2 linked regions of the Lepisosteus oculatus genome follow. The protein of the gene in region 1 interacts with the protein of each later gene in a pairwise test. Links are inferred from orthologs where the notes say so. Each region holds a gene or a part of one and is shown on either strand. Other genes may lie near its edges.

Evidence for each region.
Region 2: the proteins of usp47 (region 1) and ap4m1 interact in binary tests that used the Homo sapiens proteins (3 or more experiments, as listed by UniProt). The two-hybrid records come from large-scale screens. The link is inferred for Lepisosteus oculatus from reciprocal best matches to the Homo sapiens genes USP47 and AP4M1.

Annotation. Positions count from the first base shown.
Region 1 is NC_090716.1:8,616,419-8,623,786, reverse strand, and holds the start of usp47 (ubiquitin carboxyl-terminal hydrolase 47), read right to left. Parts: upstream 3,083-7,368; 5' UTR 2,895-3,082; coding exon 2,820-2,894; intron 904-2,819; coding exon 844-903; exon of another isoform or gene 815-843; coding exon of another isoform or gene 794-814; intron 1-793. UniProt on the Homo sapiens protein: Ubiquitin-specific protease that specifically deubiquitinates monoubiquitinated DNA polymerase beta (POLB), stabilizing POLB thereby playing a role in base-excision repair (BER). Acts as a regulator of cell growth and genome integrity.
Region 2 is NC_090698.1:12,408,168-12,415,803, forward strand, and holds the start of ap4m1 (AP-4 complex subunit mu-1), read right to left. Parts: upstream 3,108-7,636; 5' UTR 2,978-3,107; intron 2,714-2,977; 5' UTR 2,710-2,713; coding exon 2,652-2,709; intron 2,139-2,651; coding exon 2,050-2,138; intron 934-2,049; coding exon 827-933; intron 1-826. UniProt on the Homo sapiens protein: Component of the adaptor protein complex 4 (AP-4). Adaptor protein complexes are vesicle coat components involved both in vesicle formation and cargo selection. They control the vesicular transport of proteins in different trafficking pathways.

The DNA of each region.
Region 1 (7,368 bases):
AAATGGTAAGCCTCAAAGCGTATGAACAGCGACTGGAAAAACTCATCCGATGCATTATAAAACCAATGAGCTGGACATACAGTATCTAGTGGCCTACAGTAATGTAGGAATAGGCTGCTTTGAGCACATCTGTGAATGGCTAGCACTTGTTTTAATTCAAACACTTGCATGCATGTTAGTCTTAGGCAAATGCTCTTTAGGCCATGTTGTGGATTAGTTTCAATCTCTGAAAAACATTGTAATTGCAAATGAAAGGCTTTTTGTGACTTTTCTTTTTATCTAACCATGTGCACAGTATACTAATCTCCATGCTGTCCTAACGTTCCATAATAATCACATCCCATGCTGTGATCTGCAATGCTCTCTTATAGTGTCTACCTTAGGACATTTTTTATTTCTCTTCCAGTTATCTGATATCCAGAACTACACAGTTTCATCCTTAATGGTATGCTATTATTTTGGTTATATTGTAACTGCTGCAGCAATTATTTCCTGCAATGTACAGAACCTGTACATATGGACTGGAAGTTTTGCTCAGTGTTTTTTAGATTTAGAAATGTTCCTTAGATTACTTTCCGAGTAATGGCAAGAGATGCAAAAAAAAAACATACAATGTTTCCTAAACTGTATTGCGTTTTTAAGTGTTAGTTAAATTTGTTGATTATTCAACATCTTCACAGGTACCACCACCACAGGTTATTGGTACTGCAGCTGTGCCCAACACTCAACAGTATAAGGTGGGTAAACATTAAAAATGCCATGCTACTTGACAGCAGTGAGCTGAACAACTTACAGCAGTGCACCATGCTGCCATCTCATGCTTTGGCTTCACCAAAGATCTACCTGAGAGAATTTCTTCTTCATCTCATCAAAAATACTCTGTCTGCAACTCCAAAACTTACCCTGTGGCAAGTGGAAAGAAAAACAAAACACTCTGTTGTTATGGAGCCAATTGGTTGTCCAGTTCATACTGCGGTCTGGACCTGTGTTCACTTGTACCTAATGGTTATGTCAAGGAAGGGGCTACAGCAGACTCAGCTGGACAGGGGGCCAGAATTACTGCAGTTTCCCTCAAACCAAGCTTTTACATTCGCATAAACCAATTCAGACAAATTTTCAGAATCACTCTCAAGAATAGTTTCGCACTACTTCACAGGAGATATCCAAATTCTAAAGAAACTGTCTACCAAAACATTATTTGGTAGACAGTTTCTTATTATTTCCAGTCTTGACGCCACTTTTCAGTTTTGCTTTAAGATTCAGCAGATTGTTTTTTAAAAAGTCTCCTTCGTTCCATCGAACATCCGATATGATTTATTCATCACGAGCTAGCAGACATAAGATAACTTTCCAAAACTATAGTTAGAGGCTCTAAAAAGCCCAACTTGTCAACACATCAAAGAGTATTATCGGATTAGAGGTATTTTTAACAACAGATAATAACACTGCGTGCTGATTCAAAGCTTCTGACACTGAGAAGCTGGTTCACCATAGAAAGTGAACTTGAAAAAGGAATTTTTCTTCCAAGTCTCCTCATTTTATAATTGTAAAGAACATATACATTTTCACAAAATATGAAAAGGTCTGGAACATCCCACGCTGCAATCTTCTCTCTAAAGAAGGAAAAAGTCCTTCTTCAGTTTAAAAAGACTAACAGCAGGTAAAATATTCATAGGTTTATACAGTAAAAACCCAGTTGGATTAATAAGGGGAAGGGGTGTCCATTATTGCAAAATGTCTGTTAATTTATCAAATAATATTTTTCAGCTCAAACATACCATGGGAAATACATACTTTATATACATTTTCTTGAACTTTTGCCATTTTTTAACAATTAAAATGATTGCAGTCAATGAAATCAATGAAAATAATTCACGTGTCTTTTCTTAAATATACAAGTTCTTTACTTCATGTGTCATAAATATACTTTATACAATTCACTAAAGCATACAAACACATCATAAGCAACTGACCTATACAGATATTCCTAAATTTTAAACTTATGTAACCCTTTATACATTGTTTTACTAGTTGTGCAATTCCCCTTAATTGTGTGGAAAGACCAATATTTCTGATTTTACAGACAAAATTCCCCTTTAGCAGATTTTGTTCATTAAATCCAACATCTATTAAACCTGAGGTTTACAGTACAGTTAGAAAAATTGCATTTAAAAAGCCTCTAAAACCTATGATTAATCCAGTGGTTATATATTGATCATTTATACATTTATTGAATTACAAATGTAATCTTGTAATATAAAAAGTTATATTTGTGACGTAAACATTCATGCATCTTCATGTATTCTTCAAATGTTCAGACTCCCTTATACTAAAGAATGTTTTTATAATATATTTAAATACATCAAAACAATCCCCAATTAAAATTAAAGTTTCCAAACAGAAAACAAAGGTAGTATTCTACAGCAATGCAGTATTTCTGTATCTACCCAACTGAAATATTTTCCCACAGCAGATAACATCACAGAAACTTCAAAGGTTGATAAAGAAGGTTAAATAGTGAAATTAAGAACAATAATAAAAAAATCTCCATCATAGTTGTGTAAACTAATATTAAAAATGTATCAGCTACACTAAAGTGATAAATAATCATTCGAGTATGTCGAATAATCAAATAATTCAGGATGTCAGCTTTCAGCAGCATTGAATATTAAGCAATATTAAGCAAACAGTAAAATATCTAAAGCGCAAACAATAAAATAAGATTGAGATATGCCTTTTTTAAGAAAAACAAATAAATGTCATTAACAGGTTTAATCAACTTCTGCATTCACCCCACAGGAATAAAAACAGTATACTACCTGGCTTGGAGATATTAACTGGAAACTCTTCTTTGGCTTTAAACCTGACATCAAATTTTGTAAAACTTTCAACATTAGCAATCTGGTATTATCTTCTTCCAGACTCCCACTGCTCAACAAGTTTATAATTAAGCAGTTCTGGGAAGGCAGAATCTTGGACAGGCTAGTGCATAGGCCTGCTGATAATATCAGTGTTTTGCTTGTAGTTTGTAAAAGATGTTTAAAACATCAAAATAATTCATCTTAACTGTTAATGCCTACATAGAGAATATAAATCTAATGAGACAACAAATCAAAGTGCTACACTTTTTAAATGACTAAATATAAAAACTATTTTGTGTTTTATCCTTTTCACCTTAAAACAAGAAAATGAAAGTTTATCACTTCCTTGTTTTACAGTATCTGTACTACTGTGAAGCACTTCCTGCCAAAAAGCCAATCCAGACTGACTTACTACTTTTTCTGCCAATCAGAAACACTCAGGGGAGAGCCTGTCAGCACTCAGATTAATATTATGTTCTCTAGAAAAGGAGTGCCAGAAGCTGCTTATCAAAAAAACATTACTTCCTGATACTTCCAGGTAACATACATTTTTGCACAAAAAAATACCAGCCTAAGAAAAAAACCTTACAAAATCAAGCATATAATATTAACTTAAATTTCAGTAAGAACAACATTAAAACTAATAATTTTGAAATCTTCATTGTTTTCATTTTTAAACATTCTTAAAAATCACACAGATCTTGTCACAAGCCCAGTTAGCTGGAATGTCACCACATTCATAAACTGAAAATCACTGCACAGCATGGATTTGTTTTGCATTCACTGTAAAGCTGAAAAACCCTGTGTGCATGGGCTTCAGAAGGGTAGAGACTGAAGCAATGCTCCTAATTTGTCTCAGGAAAACAGCATTGCAAGTGCCAACAGGACACTGTGTGCCATGGGTTTAGCAACACTGCAAACCCGTGATCTACTGTACAAGCAAGTCTACTATTCTCGTATGTGCAGATAAAATTAGGTAACAGATCTAAAACGGATTTATATCAGTAAACAATGTATTTATTTTAGAAGTAAGGCATTCCAGTACAATAAAGTCTCACTAATAAAACTGAAAACGTAATTAGCCTGCAACATTAATTTCTACAAATATTTCAATCAGGATAGTGTTTCATGTGAACTGTTGTATCGACCAGGACTGCTTTCTAGGACTAATTACAGAACTGACAAAAATATCCATACTGCCCAGCTGACTCACCCTTGAGTATAAGACTTCTGTCAAACATTTTAATTTGTGGTAGCAGGTGGCCATTCTCAGATTTTTATTTTAAACACTTACTAGTGTAAGAGTGCCCAGCAGTGTTCTGATAAAAATAAAGAATTGGGGCTTGTTTATGCTTGCAGTTGACAACTAGATCATCTCCAACAATATCTTCCTTACATTAACTTTACCTCTACAATATTTACGCAGAAAAGTATACAAATGAGAGAAGGTCTTTCAACCAATCTAGAGGAGCAATAAGTGGAACCACATAATACCATATTGCCCCTATATTTGGTCTATATTTGTAAATATTTTTTCTACCCAAAGTTTAGTCTATATCTTACAGAAAAAGCTGAGAGGTTGAATATTCAAAGGATTTGTGTTAAGAGGAAGAGAGCACTTTGTGAGCTGTGCAGTACTAGTGCCTTGTTATTAATCGGCTACCCTAGTGTGCTTATGTCCTCTGAAATTGCACTGTGCTTGGAGTCCTCATTGAAAACTGGCAAGAAAGAAAAGGATAATTAGTTATTCATTTTGTAGAAGGTAGTTCTTTAAGAATACATTGTACTAAAATGTGGATTTATCATTTTAGCTTGACATCTGAAGACCCATTTTTTTTCTTTGTATTGCAAAGTTGTAACTAGAAATGGATTTGTATAAAATTATAGCCTCCCCACCACTGTGCTTTTACAAATGGATCCTAAAATTTGAGTTTGAAATTCATACAATACAATGTATGAATACCTGAACGTCCACTCTAAACAGGAAGGATGAGCATTTACCACTTGTCACAGGCATTCGTTATATTTAAAAGTGTTCTTTCGCAAGTTTAAAATTTACATTTAGAGATTAATAAACTGAACTATTAAATACAATTATGAAAAATAAAGAAAATTCCAATGTCAATATCAGGTAACGCCAGTTACAGGGACCTTGCAAGAAATCAGGTTCTGGCAATTTAATTTAAACAAATACTTATTTTCATCTGGATAATTTATTAGAAGAGAACTACTAAGCAGTTAATACTGTTCTAAACACTGACGACATGAAGGCCCAAAGACTGTTTTGCTGAAAAAGTCCAGAAACGCTGAAGTTCCCAAAAATTAATTAGCACTGTTTAGCACTGCTGTCACTGTGGTCTAGTCTGCAAGTTTTAATGTAGTGTCCAGATTGCATAATGCTAGTAATAACTAACTTCCACTCCAAATTTTAACAGTAATACATCTGCCTATTTCTAAGCCTTGAAGACCCATTCCCTATACTTTCTGTTCTACTGTTAGCCGTCTGAAAAAAATATCACAAATATCCATCTTAGTGTCCCTCATGGTCATGAGTGATGACAAAAAAATAAACAGACTTTATGTAACTATGTCCTATCATAACACAGACAGCATTGTACTAAAAGTACTGTGTAAACAATAATAGTCGTGTTTTGTATTAAAAAAGAAACCCTGAAGGCTAAGACTACAAAGATTTTAACCTCAAAGTTTCAGGATTGCTCAAGTAGCTGGAATCTAAGAAGGCTATAATTTCATATTCTGTTTTGAAATCAACTTATAAAATCATTCCTTAGTGTTTAAGGGAGAAAAGCACAACATATCAGTCCAGAATTCGTACCTTTCTTGCAAAGGAATTCTAGCAATTGCATGGAAAGCAGTATTCTTGGAAATTTTATTAATGTTTCCAAATTTACGAAATTATTTGGTTCCCCATTTACGAAAGATCAATTTGTCAAAGTTATAGCAACTACTTAATTTTCAGAAACAGACACTGAATACCAAGAGAGGGGTTATAATATGGTTCAGCAAAGTGATTACAAAAGACAGAACAATGAGTCACTCTAGGTCTTTGCTCACTATTGGGCTGACTTGATTACAGTACCAAGCAGATTATAGGACTTAATATCATCTTGAAAACATGTCATTGAGAATAATTGAGAAAGCATCTCCATTTGCCTTACATTATGCTAATCATTGTCTTTCCCCAAGCTCCTTTCCAACTTCTATAAAAAAAATACATTTTAAAATAAGAAATAAATTGTATTTCAATATATTAAGATGAATAATCACTCCACTTAGTGCCATAGTTATCATAGTAACAATTCAATCTTAAGCTGTGACAGTTCAGTGTATAAAATGTAAGGTAAGCCACCTAGGATAAAAGCATCTTTTAAATATCATACCTTAGAGCACTGCATACCCACATTCTGAACTGTGTCTTGTCCAGTCAAATGCAATTTACCAAACATGATAAGAGTTTTTATGTTTAAATCTGTAACACTGAAAAAGAAGCATTTATATTGATATTGCATTTAATAACATAAGGCGACCAATTTAAAACTAAGAAAAATTTACACCAATACAAGGTCAGCATGATTTATGGTGAACAAAAACAAAACAATTTTGTTCACCAAAAACGTGGGACAGTAATATTAGGAAATGTTTCTACATATTCTATTCTATAGTCCTGTAGCCTACGTCACTATGTATGGTGGTTTTAGATTCACCTTTTGCAATATTTTCAGCAATACATACTACAAATACATTGTACTTATTTTTTCATTTGAAATGCTTTTACATCTTTTGATTACATATTTCAGCTGACCAGTTTATGTTATATTTACTGCTGTGTATCTTTTAGCATACTTTAATTATACTACACAGCACTACATTAATTAACTATTTTATGAGGATCATAAACAGTTGGCTTATACAGTTGCACAGGAATAAATTACAATTAATATGGTCACACTGCATTCTATTACTTTGTAAATAGAATTATCTGAAATACAGTACAGAATATTCCATATTCTATTCTTCTGCTGAAGGTAATGTTCTAAAGACAGCAAACATTGAATAATGGTTCCTATGATTTACAAACACATCATAACTATTACAGTGAAAGCTTATATTTTGAATTCTTAAAATTCAGTTCTTTCTAATGGGTTACATCTTAGCCCTCATTTCATTGCATTCAACGAATATTCTTTAAGACAGAAAAGTTGCTTCATAAAGTATATCTCACATACAATGAAATGTATTTGAGATACACTACTACAGGCATTGCTTGTTTGGTGTGCCTTCAAAAGCAAAAGTGGAACATGGTGTACTGTTTTTGTACTTGTTTTTTTGTTTTATAAACAGGTTACATTTTAAACCTTTAGTTGCTAGTATAAAGAAAAACAACTACAGACTCCATCTGCTGAGTCAGGCTGTACAAGTTGTGAAAATGATATAACTTTCCAATAAAAACAGTGACACCCTGTAGCACAAAAAACACTTAATGCTA
Region 2 (7,636 bases), on another chromosome or scaffold:
GTCTCTGTACACACACACACCCACCCACCATCACTGCTCCGTCTCTGTACACACACACACACACCCACCATCACTGCTCCGTCTCTGTACACACACACACACCCCCACACCATCACTGCTCCGTTTCTGTACACACACACACACCCCACACCATCACTGCTCCGTCTCTGTACTGTACACACACACACACCCCACACCATCACTGCTCCGTCTCTGTACACACACACACACCCCCCACACCATCACTGCTCCGTCTCTGTACACACACACACACACCACACACCATCACTGCTCCGTCTCTGTACACACACACACACCCCCCACACCATCACTGCTCCGTCTCTGTACACACACACACACCCCACACCATCACTGCTCCGTCTCTGTACACACACACACACCCCACACCATCACTGCTCCGTCTCTGTACACACACACACACCATCACTGCTCCGTCTCTGTACACACACACACACACCATCACTGCTCCGTCTCTGTACACACACCCACACACCATCACTGCTCCGTCTCTGTACACACACCCCACACCATCACTGCTCCGTCTCTGTACACACACACACACACCATCACTGCTCCGTCTCTGTACACACACACACACACATCACTGCTCCGTCTCTGTACACACACACACACACACACATCACTGCTCCGTCTCTGTACACACACACACACACCATCACTGCTCCGTCTCTGTACACACACACACACACCCCCACACACCATCACTGCTCCGTCTCTGTACACACACACACCCCCCCACACCATCACTGCTCCGTCTCTGTACACACACACACGAACAGATTACCTGTTCAGGAACTCGATGACAGTGAAGGGCGACAGGTTGGCGGTTGTTGTGGCCACGAAGTAGAGCCCCCCCTGTCGGATGTGAATGAAGTGCAGCCCCTCGTGACTCTAGAAGAGAAACAGACGCACATGGGGGCAGGGTCTCTCTTCTTATATAATAATAATAATAATAATAATAATAATAATAATAATAATAATAATAATAATAATAGTGTTTCTTTATTAGCACTATACAATTTCTTGCATTAGGAATTCCTCTTTTCGCATACCCCAGCTTTTCTCCAAGGAGACACAGACACACAGACAGGGAGAGAAGCTTGGGGTCAGAGCGCAGGGTCTGCCATTGTACGGCGCCCCTGGAGCAGTTGGGGTTAAGGGCCTTGCCCAGGGGCCCAATGGAGTAGGATTCCTCTGCCGGCCGCGGGATTTGAACCGGCAACCTTCCAGATCCTTAGCCACAGAGCCACCGCTCCGCCTACTTGATGGTCCTGCACCCCCAAGCACACCAGCAGTCACTGCAGTCTACAGCTCCGGGCCCCCGTGGCTCAGAGGAGGGTCAGCAGTGACATCGCTGGGGGGGCTGAGCCTCCTGAGGCTGCTGTCAAGTCGGGGGTAGGACCAGAGCCACACTCTTCACACAGATCAGACAGCGCCCCCCAGTGGTGGAGCCAGACCCTGTATCACTCTTCCATGGGACTCCAGTGTTATAGGTCAACCTCAAAAAAACCAGGAGCTCTTGGAAGGGAGGCATCAGTTAATCAGGCAATGTGCTCCATTAAAGAAACTCCCGGAATCTGCTTGCAGATCATTACTGAAATTTAACTAGTTACCCACAAGGGACCACAACAATCGTGTTGCCAGAACGTAGGCATAAGCAGCCCGTGTGCAGCAGGAGCCAGCCCTAAACTCAGCTGATGATAACGGGTGACAGGACACACTCATCACCTCTCCCACATGCTCGAGAGAGAACGCGTGTCCTGAGCTCACACAGGCAATGAGCTAACGGGTCCACGCCCACAAACGGACAGGAGGAACGACTTCGGGAGAGGAGGCCGAGGGAAAGGGAGCCGTGAGAACAAGGGCCTGGTCACGGGCGAGTGAAAGATTAATACCAGTCTCACTCACTCGTGACCACCACCCAGTCTAGGCCCTGTGGGCAGAGAGGACCTGCAGAAACGCACCGCGCTTGGACAATTACAGCAATAAGAATCAGAGGACTGCTACCATGACAACGGGAGGCTGGTCTCCAGGCAACGCCGTCACCTTCTCGTAGAAAACGCCGACGACATCACTCCCCGCCTCCCCGCGAACTGCTGACATCATCAGTCAAGGAGTGCCAGTCGCGGGCGGTTTGGCTGGCATCGCTCCGCGGTACCGAAGCGACCACGGAGCCAGTTAACACTGCTGAACACACCAGTATTCCACAAGCGAGCTCGTGGGGAAAGGAGCGCTCCACAAAGCAGATACAGGGCGGAGTAATTGTCCGACACAAACAGGAATGTAAGCAAAACAACACAAAGTAAAGAAAGTGCAGAGAGAGGTCTTCAGGGTGAGACAGACACGACCCAGAGAGACAGACAGGTCAGAGAGACGTCTTCAGGGAGAGACAGACATGTCAGAGAGGTCTTCAGGGCGAGACAGACGGGTCAGAAAGAGGTCTTCAGGGCGAGACAGAGACGACCCAGAGAGACAGACAGGTCAGAGAGATAGGGACAACCCAGAGAGACAGACAGGTCAGAGAGAGGTATTCAGGGAGAGACAGACAGGTCCCTGAGCGGGGTCCTGGTTACTGACAGTGAGTTTGGCCCAGGGCGCAAAAAGGATACAGTCTTTATAAATCAGGTGATCCCCCTTGGCAGACAAGATGAACACCTGGGAGATCATACCGCTGTAACAAGCACACGTCGAATTAATAGCAGAACAACGCGAGTCCTCGGAGCAGGCGTTTAGAACCGCTAAAGACATTTATAGGACTGTGTAACAAGTCTGGTTTTACAAATGATTGAATATGTTGTCTTTTTCTTTCACGCTGCTTTCTAACACTGCAGTTATGAAACATAGCGGTATAATGGCATCAACATCGCTGAAACAACACAAAGCTATATATATAGATCTATCCGGACAGATTTTAAGATCTGACAAACGGTAATACCTAACACCTTGTGGAGGCCTCCTCCAAACTGCCGACTCTCGAGTGACCACAGTGCCGCAGACAGCTAAAATCTGCCAGGGTACCGAAACTGAACACAACCGGCGATCTGCCAAAACACAGTAAGACACACGCCTGACCGCTTCTCATTGGCCCATCGCTAACCGGCCGTCACTGTGATTGGATACATTCAGCCAATGGGAGGACTCGAAGGTATCAGCTGACCGTCCTCCCCTCTTCCCATCCGGCGCGCTGTGTGGTGGGGGGTTATCCGGTTAGGCGTTACACAGCACAAAAACACGAAGATTGTTTTTCTTCGGGTGTGATTTTACAGTTAGACTCAATTTAGTTTAGAAATCATTGATCTGTGCTGCCGACTGATAGAGTAGTTTAACACAGAACAAAAGTGCCACAACACATTTATTGTCCCTGTTGTCTACATTGTGTGGTGTTGTCTGTGTATATCGCGAGAGATCAGCGTGATTAAGAATTCCAACGTACATGTACATATGGCAATAAACTACTCTTAACTTTCAACTGGCTTATTTATATAACAACAATGTATAATTTTTAGTGCCTTGTTTTAGTTACACGGGTGCTTTATTAACACGTAGCGGCGTTATTTACAATGTGAGAGTCCACAGACTACTCGTCCACCTGTGACAGCAGTTGTCATTAATTCACTGATTACAGGCTAAGGGGAAAAAGGTTTGGCGCCAAAAAGCCTGTTCTGTGAAGGACGAGTCCATTGGGATATTTGTACAATGGCACGGGGGTGGAAGAAATATATCTATATGAACTGTACATTTTGTGTTCCGTTCTATGTATCATATCCTAAATACTTAAAATAGAATTTACAAATATACTTTCGCTATAAGGATTTATTCCATTCTTATAATAATTTCTATCCCGTTTTTCTCTTCTTTTTTCCCCATCTTCCCCCCCACTTCCAGCTTTGTTTTTAACATTTTTCGCGCCAGAGGCGGTTCCCGATTCTCTGATTGGCTGCCAACCTAGCTTCCAAGGCTTTCGCGCCACTCGCGAACCCTGCCTACGTCACTCGATTCCCGAGCGATGATTGGCTGAGCGGGGAGCCGGACTGGCGCCAGTTTTCGCAGGGCTTTGGGAGACCGTGAGCCGTTCTGTACCGAGTGGCCCCGCGGCTGGACTCTTCGAGAAAGACACGCTATTTTCACAACGTATAATTAAACCATTTTCTTCTTGCCTGTTCCCGTGACTTCGCGTCGGGTTCCAGCAGCTATGCCTCCTAAGGACTACCAGGCGGAGAAGGGTGAGTTTCTGTGCCTTTGTGTGTAATGGGCTCGTTACTCGATAAGGCGCCGGTCCACCCGTGCACGGATCAGGCTGGTTTGAAAATATGGAGAATAAGCTCTGCTGTCAGCGTGCCCAGCGCCTGTCGGTACTTAAATAACTCGTCTGCAGGGTGCTCATTTGAAGTGTATGATGCGACACATCTCCTAGGCGCTGGGCAGTGGAGAGCGCCGATCCGCCTCGGTGTTTTACATTAAACTACAGGGCTGGGCAGCTGTGTCTGTGTCCCGTTCAGCTGTAGGACTGTGAAAATGCCAGAGGCGTTCGGGTGACCGTGCTTGACGTGACGTTAGTGAAGCAACAGCTGTTGCACGAACTCCGTGTCGTGGCCGTGGGCTCCGCAGCGGCTCCCGGCTGCGACCCGGATGGAACTCGGAGACAAAGAGTTCAGCGCGAGGCGCACATGGCCGCGGGGGGAGGGGCGACCTTTAACCCCGGCGGACGCAGCGGACGGGCCCGCTGGGTTGCGGGAAGTGCCGACGGCCGGGCCTACGCGTTATACGGATGCCGGTCGTGGGCGATGTGTCCGTTTTCGTTTCCTTCTCGCCAGTTTGCGGAGCGTTCTCGAAAGGGCGCCTGTAGGTCCTGTGATGGCTTCCTGTCCCGTCCCGTCCTGCTTGTACCCTGCACTGCTGAAGCCAGGCGGGACAGCACGTTCAGAGAGATGGGCTTTGTACAGGATGGGCCGCTGGCTGTGCAGTGTGCGCTCCAGGCAGCTGTGCTTCCTATTCCGGAGACTAGGAAGACAGAGACTCTTGCATCTTGAACAGGAAGTTTCAGTTCCTGCCTTCAGCATAGCTACAGCACAGCTCCTTGCCCAGCTGGTCGGTCTGTTTCAGATGCTGAAGGCGTGGCACAGGAACTTGCTGATTACAGCTCCGGTGTCCCAGGTTCGATTCTGGTTTGTTGGGGCCTGTCTGTGTGGACTTTGCATGTTCTGTTTAGGTTCTTGAGTGTTGGCCAGGTGCTTCAGTTTCCTTCCAGCTCCCACAGAGATCTGAGCTGTTTCACTAGATCATCTGAACCATCCCAGGGGGAGATGCCAGAGGCAGTTCGTGCTGGGGACTCCAGTACTGGCTGCAAGACTACAGAGACACAGATCTAGTTCCAGGAGGCTTTCTGATCCGAATCAGTTGGTGATGATGGATCAGATGAGCCAAAATGTCTGTTTTTACTGCCATTCCACCCATGTGAAGAAATGGGAACCAGCTTCTCCACCTGGTGCTGGGGCAAACCCCGGAGTCTGGGTGCAGCAGGTGTCTGGTCACCCTTGTGTATGGCCATGCCTGTGTTCAGAGTTGCAGCGGGGAGGCAAAGGGCAGAGTTCATATGTGAAAGGTCACAGCGTTTGGGGTGCTGCTCAGGGCCTGCTGATCGCTGGCTCGTCAGTGCCCAGTGAGGGAGAAGGTTCTGTGGCGCTGGCTCCTGGACCTTGAGCTAGCGAGGCAGCACCAATGCCGATTTGCTGGCAGAGTGGCTTTCCAGGACAGGCTTGGAGGAATTTAGATTTCGGGATTGGGAGCATTTAAGGACGGGGCTGGCTTTGGAACTCTCTGACCTGTCACCTATCATAGGCTGTGCTGTGTGTGAGCTGATAGTACTGATGTCAATGTAATGAATGAGGACCTGTTGGAAACGCCCCCCTGTCAGATCATGGGCCAACCCAGTCAGGCTCCGCTAGTGTTCTGTCCCGGGTTCAAACCAGCAACATCCAGGCCACAGGCCTCATCCTGTGTTTCAAGGATCCTGCTTGTTGTTTAAAAGTAATTTAACTGCTGATCTGCTCGACTCCTGCCTCAGACCAAAGGAACTGTGCAGGACGACTGAACTGTTTCAGTTGCATTACTATGCAGGGCCCTGCTCAGCCTGCTGTGGCTACTCTGCTATAGAGAGCAGAGAGCTGCGACTCTTGTTTTCGGGTGTGGGGTGTGAGACTGGGGGACAGCTGTGGGCCTGGCCTGCAAACTCATTTCGGAACGGCTCTCAGCTACAGGTGTGAACTCATTCTTGATTTGATTGTAACATTGAGCATCTCCCAGCTAAAGAGATCTGTCAGACCCGAAGGGCTCTGGACCCCTAGGCCTGCAGGAGGTACCACTGACTTAGGAGGACCCTTTAATCAGAAGAGGTAGCATACTGGGGTACCTCAAGAACAAATATTGATGCTCTGAGAAACTGAGGGTAAATGTGTTTAAAGTCAGATGTGCCCAAAAAGTATCCAAATATTTCACAAAAGGTTTGATGCATTTTTAACCTACTTTTATTTGTAGTAGAATAACAACACTTATTCTTGCACATCACTGTTGTTGATAAGATCTTTCTCTTTTTTTTCTCAGGACACGTAGTCTCGGACCCTCTCTGGTCCAGTGAGCTCAGTACATGTTTACCCAACCCAGATGAACTACAAAGTAGCTTGTATTTCATCTGAATGTATTTGCATTAACATTATTTTCACAAACTAGATCAGTCCCTTTCACATATTTACACCCAATGACGGCACCACTGAACACCACAAGCTGAGAAATCATTACTGAATCTAGATTTCATCATATGTGAAGCGAAATGGAACAGGAGATTGTGAAATTGGTCATCTTGGGAGTTCCCTTCTTCCAGATGGAAAGATTGTTTTTATAAAAGAAATCCCAGAGGGCATGTATATTGACAGTTCAGTTAATGAGGTTGTAGTCCGTTAGTGAAGTACAGTAGCCTTTTCTGGGTACAGAGCAGCAAAACATGAGTAAAATATTTAAAAAAACATTTAACTATACTGAATTACCTCAGATCTCTTCTCTTAGTTGATTAGATATTAAATAAAAAAGGACATTATTTTACAATATGTACATCTCACCAAAGTGCACATTGTTTATGGAAAAGTAAGAAAATAAGTTACATGACAATTCTTAAATTCTTATTCAGGACACCTCAAGTCAAGGTTGTTGGCTGAAGCTGTATGGGATTATTGAAAGTCATAAAACAGGACATCATTTTCTTTCAGTGGGTAGCTGCGTCAGCATGCGTAGGCTGCAAAGGAACAAGTAATAGGTTTATTCCATGCTGAAAAAAAGAAGAAAGAGAACACAACGTTTCGGCCGAAACGTTCTGTTCTCTTTCTTCTTTTTTTCGGCATGGAATAAACCTATTACTTGTTCCTTTGCATCATTTCCTTTACTCTAGGATACATTTGCATGAATAGCTGAAAACTGTGTACATTATTGAACCTTGCAAACGATCATTATGCGTTCCTCCTATTGCTATATCCAGTTTTTGTAAAAGCTAAACGGCAGAATTCTTTCCCAAGCCTGCGTACAGCGAACACAAGAGCTCCGTGTG